Linked DNA regions of Schizosaccharomyces pombe. The protein of the gene in region 1 interacts with the protein of each later gene in a pairwise test. Each region holds a gene or a part of one and is shown on either strand. Other genes may lie near its edges.

Region 1 (3,731 bases):
CAGGCATACAAGTTTCGTCCAAGGTGTTTAAATAAGCGTTCCACGGACTATCTGTTATATTTTCCAATATTACAGTTATAACGAGCATGACCAGCCCAACCTGATCTCTATTGTCAAAGTTAATATCATCAGACCGATTAGATTCATTAAAATGTGTATACAACGAATCTCCAAATCTTGAGTTGCGAGGACTCAGAATGATCCTTCTAGGAATCTTTGCTAAAACTTCAAGTTCATCTATATCAAAGGTAGAAAATATACCATCTCCTGCGACCCCACTTGAAGCGATATACAGTTTGGGTGAAATGTAAGCTTCGTGTTTTGCTAGCCATTCAAGTAAGGGTTGGTACTTCAAAAATTGCTTGGAATTGTTCATGCTTTATTTAACATGTTTTAATAAGTAGTTAATAATATTTTTTATGCGCTTTCCGGCAATTTTGAACATTTGAAAGTTAATATCTTTTCAAAGCAAATTTGATTTTAAGCGTAGGTAAATACTCCAACCTTCTGATGTACACATTGATTTTTTGAGTAAAACTTGAACGTATCTTAGAACAGAAGATAATTAATTTCTCAAATTATGTTTAATAAAGCACATTAGTCTGTTCAAACTTGATTTTTAATCCGCTACGCGTTTTCAACCTGTCCGATACAGAAGGGCAATGCAGGATGGATCGTAAATATAAAAACTACTATAAGAATATGATTGAATACGATTGAAAAGGGGTAATAAACAAACGCTTTAAATATAAAAAGCTTCTTCATGGTGATAATTTTACCAAGAGTTGTACAGACTTTTCGCAATAATGCTTTTTCATACAAATAAATTATTTCATTTATAAAACATTCATAATTAAACAGTAGATACTTCCATCAGTAATGGAGAGATGTAAAAAACTAAAAATAATATATGACATAGTTTGCACATTACTTCCATTCACTATCCGTCGTAAATTGTCATGTCAAATTTTAGAAGGAAAAGATACACATAGACTGAGTATGCTTAATAACTAATAAATTCGAAGAAATTTACATCGACTCATATGTCCCATTTTTTACGGTTCGCTTGAGGAACTAGCATAATATGCGGTTGCTTGTTCTGTTCTTTTCTTTAATTTCACATTCTCAATACAAGATCTTTCATAAGCCTTGCATTCTTTCTTCAGCGTTTGCTCAAGAATCTCCTCATACTCAGTCTTTAGATCAGTGATACTTATTTTATTGTGCAGGACTTTTTCCACACAATTAGACAAGCGATAAAACAGTTCAGCTTGATAAGCCTCATTGTCATATTTCTCACTTAATAATTTCAAAGCCATGTCCTCAATTTTAGCATTAAACTCCTCTTGTTCTGCTACCATCAAAGCCATTTTTTCGTAAGCTTTAAGCAAGTGCTCAAATCGCTCACGCATTAATTCCTCGCCGTAAGCAGAAGAATCGGACATCGTTATGCTCATAATCGGTTTTTTTTTCTCTTTCACAAACAATTCTAAGTTTGGTGTGGAAAGATACTCACAGTCAAAGAGGGATTCACACCGCTGCCAAAACACAGCAAATGTAAACAAACAAGAAGAATTCTATTCAGTTAAACAATATCAATTGAATAGAAGAAAATATACAATAGTTTAAAAAGTAAACAAAAATATAAAAAAAAATTGATAATTTAAAGTGGGGATATCTGCTTCAATCGCAATCTATAATGTTCTGAATAAGCAGTAAATGCAGCGTTTATGCAGTTTTGCCTCATCTCCTGCGAAGCTGGCAAAGGTAAATATCTCACTGACTTGTTAGACAACGTACAAACCAAGTCATGCTCAGATACCCGCAAACCACTAATTTGTTTCACGGGTACAGCGATTTTAACAATATAATTACTTCCGGTTATAATAAAATGCTTCGTACTGATATATAGAATGTCGACATTTTGAATTTCAGCATGGTAAAGATATTCATCAAAGGCATATTTGCCGTCATCCAAACAACTTAACATATATTTTCCGAGCGACTCGTAGGGTTTAAATGGTACAATTAGACCTCCAAATTCAACATATCTTGGCACACGTACTTTATCAATTTCAGGATTAGTACGAACATCGGTTGAGTTACGAATGCCTTCACTCACGTTGCTGGTCATATCAAGCAATCCTATAGCAGGTTTGGTAGCTAAACCAAGCATACCCTTGCCAAATCCCTTCAAAAATTTGCCAGCACTGTTGTTTTTTGGATCCGTAAATGGCTTTTTGAGACCTTTGAATCCACTAGACATGCTGTCGTAAAAGCTGTTAGCTCCAGCGGTTACGCCATATACAGCTTCTTTTGGCCTATTTCTTGAACGAAACCGTCTTCTAGAATTTTGATATTTTGGATCCATAGTCATAGTTGAAAGACCTTTAGAAATCGTCCCAGTAATCTTTGATACACTATCTGAAACACCATAAATAGTTTTACGCATGAAACTAGATGTTCCACGAGCAAATGAATCACCGAATGATTGCGAATCTTGTAACAAAAACCCCTGATAGGGTTCATAAAACATATCAAATACACCAGATGCAACGTTATTGAACAAACCAACGGGGTTTCCCAAAAAATCAGCTCTCCCGGCAATTTTGTATATTTGGTAACCAACCTGCTGTTTATAATGACTTGCCACTCGGTTTGCCATTTCGGAAAGTGTGCCACGAGCATTTTCAAGAAGAATGGAATTCAGTTGCACGGGAGCATCATGAATATTACCCAATGTGCTAATCAGTATACCTGTCATAAAATCTAATGTGGGATTGGAAGATTTGACAGCTGGTTGATCCGATTCATAAGAAGTTTCAAATGATATATTTAATCGGGTTGGTTGTAAATGGAGAGTCTCAAAAAATACGTTACTGCGATAAACATCCGCGTCAAGATCTGGTATTTCAAACTTATCCGCAAAAGCGTTCTTGCTGAGACTTGCAGAATCTTTAGAAACATCGGATGATGGATAAAGCAATTGTAACAACGTTAAAACCAATCTATCCTCCACTTCGAGCGATAGCTCTTGAAGAAGGAGAGAGGCATACTTAATGTATAGAATATTAAAACTGCTATCTTTAAGGACGGAAAATCGCAGCTGTAAAAGTTGGGGATCGTCTTGTTTGACTTCTTGGGTAATCATTGTAGGAAACAATGCAATTGGATATACAGAATCCAACATCTGATTGTCAATTTGAAGCCATCCCAATGACATTCCAAAAGTATTAAGGTCTTTACTATCATCAAATCTAAAAGTAAAATTCTTCAAAGTAGCATATGCAAATTCCTCATATTTTTTGTCAATTAAGGAAATTCCAAATCCCTTCAACTGCAAAACTAACTTAAATTTCTGCTCGACAATCGAGCCTTTCACGTTGGAATTTGTTCGACTGGGTAATTTAGGTTTACTTAAGTCAATTTCGTTAAAAGTAACGAGAGACGTCAAGCTATCAACCTTAACTTCAGGGTGTATCCTTATTTTTTGGTCTAATTCTGTGGGGTGCCATGGTTCAAGTTGACCCACCGACGAAATATCAAGATCGTGAATTGCTTTTCCAACTTCTACTTGCAATAATTTTGATTTCAATATCGGAAAGTCCCAAGAATAATTAGCCTCTTCCCCGGGATTAAGAGCGTATTTCATGCTCCTAGAACCTTGGAGAAACCGGCTATCAACCGATTCTGGATCTGGTCGCTTTTGTTCATAGCAAATTTCTCGAGAC
Region 2 (4,789 bases), 2.6 Mb from region 1:
TAAGGAGTTTCCGTACATGTAAAGATAAGTCCATCATTACCATGACGAAGTCGGGGGATCACTTCATTAAATAACTTTAGGATACCATGACCCAGCTCCATTTTTTTTAACGATGTGAGAAAAGGAAATATGGCAGTTTCGCGCATATGAGTCTTTGTATATTCATCTAAGGGCTTTTGAATGCTTTTAGCAAAAATTCCCAAGCGTTTGTCAAGCAATCGACTCATATAAACAATTCCATCACATGCCAAACAATCAAAGACTAAATATCTCAGTTGCTTCTTACCACCTGGATAGATATCTAAAACCAACTCACCGTCCAAAAGTGTATCAACATGATATTTTTTTCCAGATTTGTCATTTTCAACTGGATAAAAAATTTTCTCAACATGATAAAAATTCATTTTACGATCAAATAAATATACACTGGGTCGATTTTCGTACCGAGGATGCTCGGTCATATAAAGTAAACAACGAATTCCATCACTTTTTTCACATACGAAATAGTTCTTTTCTTTTAATGCTTGTAAATGTTTCTTTGAAAAAGAAACTGGCTGTGATCCAGGAAATGTATCAGGACTTGTTCCTAATAATTTGGCAATTCGTGTCTTTAAAACCCTCACATCGTCGCGCGGTGCTAAAACTCCAGGGACTGATACCTCTTCAATGTCTTTCTCTGAGGGTGCCATTCCTTTTAATAATACACTCGTTTCTTTGCTAAGAGAGGGCTTAAGCACTTTCTGAAGGAGTAGAAACGGGATATAGTCTTAATGTACTAAATAAAGACACATGGTTTGTATAAAAATTCCTTATGCAGTATAGTGATCTTTTGCTGCAAAACGCAAAAATGCATATAATTATAGCTGCTCTACGAATACTGTTATCTTTTCTACCATTTACTTCAGAAAGTGTTATTCTATTACTTAATTTTTTTTTTATTCCAAAGCAAACAATATATGTAACTGTGGTGTCGTACTGAAGATAAAATGACATGTCTGTGAACGAGGTACAGATTATATGGCAGTGATTACAGATTTGGCTCATCTAGGTCAAGTTCGTAAAGCAATCGTAACCTATTAAAAAAATACATATAGGGAAGATATATCATTACAGTAATTATTAATCTGGAAATGAAACGTGCGTAAAGGATCTTCGAAACATAAACACTTTTAATGAAGAAACATGAATGAAAAACCCAAGCAATTGAATGAAACGAGTTTGGAGTGAGATTGCAAATCCCATGAACACAGTGACGCGAAGAAAATAATAGTATTGTGAAAAAAGAAAAATAAAATATGCCAGAGTTAAAGTACAATTACTATAGACAAGCAGTAGAGCAGCACTGGCCGTCTTTTAAGCATCTCCTATTGCAAGATTCTATCCAGGCTCTCAGAAATGCATATACAGTATAATAAAAAAATGTTACGAAACTTGATTCAATGGGGTGTCATTTGCTCAATGTTTCTGAAAGGACATAATTCCTTGAGCCTCTGAAGAAAGATATTGTCGAATTCCTTCGCAATTGCAATCTTGATGAGCTAATAGTTGATTCTTCAAACAAATTACTTCTTCACGTAGTTGGCTGACTAAAATCCTTAGAGCTTTCGACTGCTCACATGCGATATGTGCTGTTTTTTCGAGATTCTGTGTCCAAAGCTTTTTCTTTTGGCGGCATTTCGATGCGGCTATTCGATTTCTCTCTAAAAACCGCCTCCTCTTCATATCAGGAGTTTCATTGTTACTAGCGGTATGAACATTGTTACTGCCAGGTGTACCCCGTCGTTGACTGGAGGCGACGGTTTTATTGGAACAGGACTCATCGCTGCTGTTGTAGTCTCCATTTGGAGATTGAGACTGCTTCTTGTTGGAGTTTAAGTATCCTTCTCTACGTAAGGATTCAAGATTATAGAAAATCTCATCGTTATTCGCAGTAGCGGAATTCTTATATAGGTCCAAACCTTTTTCTTGTTCCGCTCCTGTTAGATTAACATTGTTTTGCATAAGATTTGACTGCACTACGTATGGGGCGTTGGTTCCATTTTGGAATTGTGGATGAAGCACTTGATGAGATCCATTATTATAATGATTCAAAGTACTACCTTCAGAGTATAATGAAGGTGCAACAATTGTTGAGCGTACAGGAGGAGTATTTGTAGGCTGGCCTTTGTCATTATTGTTAGAAATCTCCGAAAGGTTTACCGTTTGAGGTAATGATACCTCTGAAGTACGCTCGGGTCCTTTGAGGTAATGTCCAATGCTAGCATCACCTACTATTGAAGCGTAGTTATTATGTGAATTCGAGGGAAAGGATGTTTGATCTTTAGGTCCCTGGACTGGACCTCTACATTCATATACTCCGATATCGCTAGATTCAGCGCGTTTTTCTCCAACTTCATGGTTACCACCATCGCGGAATGTATTGAAGTTAAAATGAAAATCATGGTGAGTGCCATTACTGACGCTAGCACCATATCCTTCATTACCTAGTGTATCTAACCCGAGATACACATTTGCGAAATCCATGATGGAAGATTGATGATGAGCAAGTTAATTTTCTATTGAGTGCGGTTGAAATGGTTTCGACGGTAAAGCCGATGAAGATAGTTGATACAAGAACGGACTAAATAAAAAGCGAAAGTTTCTTTTTTGTTAGTAGTGCGAATATGTAGTGATTTCTTGAAGAAGGTTAAATCTTAAAAAGAGGCTATGTTATTCAGGTGCTGGCGAAACAAATTGGGAAGGGAAGATGAAGCAAATTGTGGTCGATCAAGTGACGCAAATTTGGATTGATGAATAAGGATGCAATATCTTTGTATAAAATTTCTGAATAGTGATCCCTGTGAACTTCTTCAAAAAAGTAAATAAAAGAAAATGAAGAATGTATAAACCGACAAGTTGGTGATTTGAAACTTAGGAGCTATCAATGGAAAAGTTTCTTTCAATTATATAAATGTGTTCTCTCTTTATTTTTCCTCTGTTTTAAGCATGCAGTAGTGTCCCGGTTTTAGGAAATGAACGAACGATAAAGGAAGGGATGACAATTCGTCGTTCTACAGAAGGATGGAATGGATTAATGGCAAAAGTGAGGATTCCTGGGAAAATAAGTATATATATATAAGGTGGACAGAGAAAGAAGGTAAAGGATAATGAAGGTGGTGAAGGAAGCAATGTCTTACTGCGTCCCTGGCAAGTAAAGAGGCTTATAAACAATAGAGAACTATGTACTAAGGTGGTTTAAGATACCAATTCCTTAATTTTGGACTTGGATTACTATAAGAATACGTTTCTGCTGAGAAATATGATGCTGCAGTCGGTAACTTTTTGGTTTGTGTCGCAATGTTTATATATGTTGATCGGGTGAGATGAATTTTGACGTCACTGCAAAACAAACAAACGAAGGGCTAGGGTAGCCAATCGGGAAATGATTTGTTTACTTTATGAGATGAACTTGCCGTATAGAAATAAAAAGTTTTTCTTTATAAAAATTTATTTTTTTTTTGTTTGAAGGGATTTGTTGCAATTAACAAAGGCACTATGCTAAAAAAGTCAAGCAGTATTATCCTTTAAGGCCTCCATTTTAAGGAGCTAACCGAAGGGGACTACATTCACGTGTCGCTCCACTGTGTAATATTTACATCACAGTCGTACCGTTAATTGGCCACCATATTCGGAAAGGAAAATCTAGAGTTCTATTTGATGCAGATTATGTCAAATATAATCAGGATTTACTTTTATTTAAACCAATCAAAAAATAGCCGATTACTTGTGGAGAGATAATAACGCTATCCCTCGGTATTCGTAGTCGTCAATAGTAAAGTTGTGAATGCGAAAATATAATATCGCCTCTCTTGCTAGCTTTTTTCATATTTATTTCCTTTAATGGTTTTGATGAAACTACCTAGGCTTCAAATTTTGTCGTTCTCTTACGCGCGCCACCATAAACGGCTTTATCGTTACTGATAATAATAGCTCATATCATTACTATTAGTAGCCTTTCCGCTATCAATCCTTTCTCAAAATTTAGCCGCAACTTGTTTCTAATACTTCTTCATCTTTCTTGCCCACATTTACTTATATTGTCGCAAGCAAGAGTAACATGTTATTGATTTAAATCTGGTTTGCCAGAATTCTCATTTTTAGTATGTATACTATCATATCTTTTAACTATACACGAGATGAAGTTTAACTTTTGGTCACATTAAATCAAAATAGACAGAACGGATCGTACATACGACCATGAGTTAGCCACTGGATTGAATCAGTTCTGCAAATCGAAAGATGTTGAACTTCGCAGTTGACAATATGAGAATACTTTAGCAACATCTGGAATATTTAATTAAGCTCTACGTCAATTTGGTAGAAATGTGACTATCTAAGATATAGTTGGCAATTTCCCGAATTCATAGGATATCACCTTTAAACCTTTTGACTTAATTTAATGATATTATTTTTCTTTATTTTAATTTACTGAGATGTAAATGCCGTGATTGTTGCATGTGTATACCTCAGATAATAATTGGACGTAGACACTATTGATTAACCCACGTAGCTATTTCACTTCTTTTGAATATTTTTCTCTTATTCATTCCTTCCGATTGCTGAATTTTCAATGCAGCCGTCAAATTAGGAACATATTACTTCATACGGACTCTGACTCATGATTCACTATGTGTCGTCGAGTCAATATATTTTCATTATAGTCATTGAAACTTACTGACTTTTGCAAATGACCGTTTCATATAACTTGTAGCTTTTGGTTAAACATGAACGCTATTGCTACAGTCTAGTT

Evidence for each region. Proteins that work in one complex are often made in the same cells at the same time.
Region 2: the proteins of spo2 (region 1) and atf21 interact in a two-hybrid assay, tested with the Schizosaccharomyces pombe proteins (one large-scale study listed by BioGRID).

What each region holds. Positions count from the first base shown.
Region 1 is NC_003423.3:4,321,166-4,324,896, forward strand, and holds spo2 (protein Spo2), read right to left. Parts: upstream 1,458-3,731; coding exon 1,056-1,457; 3' UTR 859-1,055; downstream 1-858. Other genes in the region: SPOM_SPBC16C6.01C (lysine methyltransferase), read right to left, coding at 1-376; vps1302 (lipid transfer protein), read right to left, coding at 1,664-3,731.
Region 2 is NC_003423.3:1,720,747-1,725,535, reverse strand, and holds atf21 (Atf-CREB family transcription factor Atf21), read right to left. Parts: upstream 2,524-4,789; coding exon 1,456-2,523; 3' UTR 1,086-1,455; downstream 1-1,085. Other genes in the region: mRNA guanylyltransferase Ceg1, read right to left, coding at 1-689.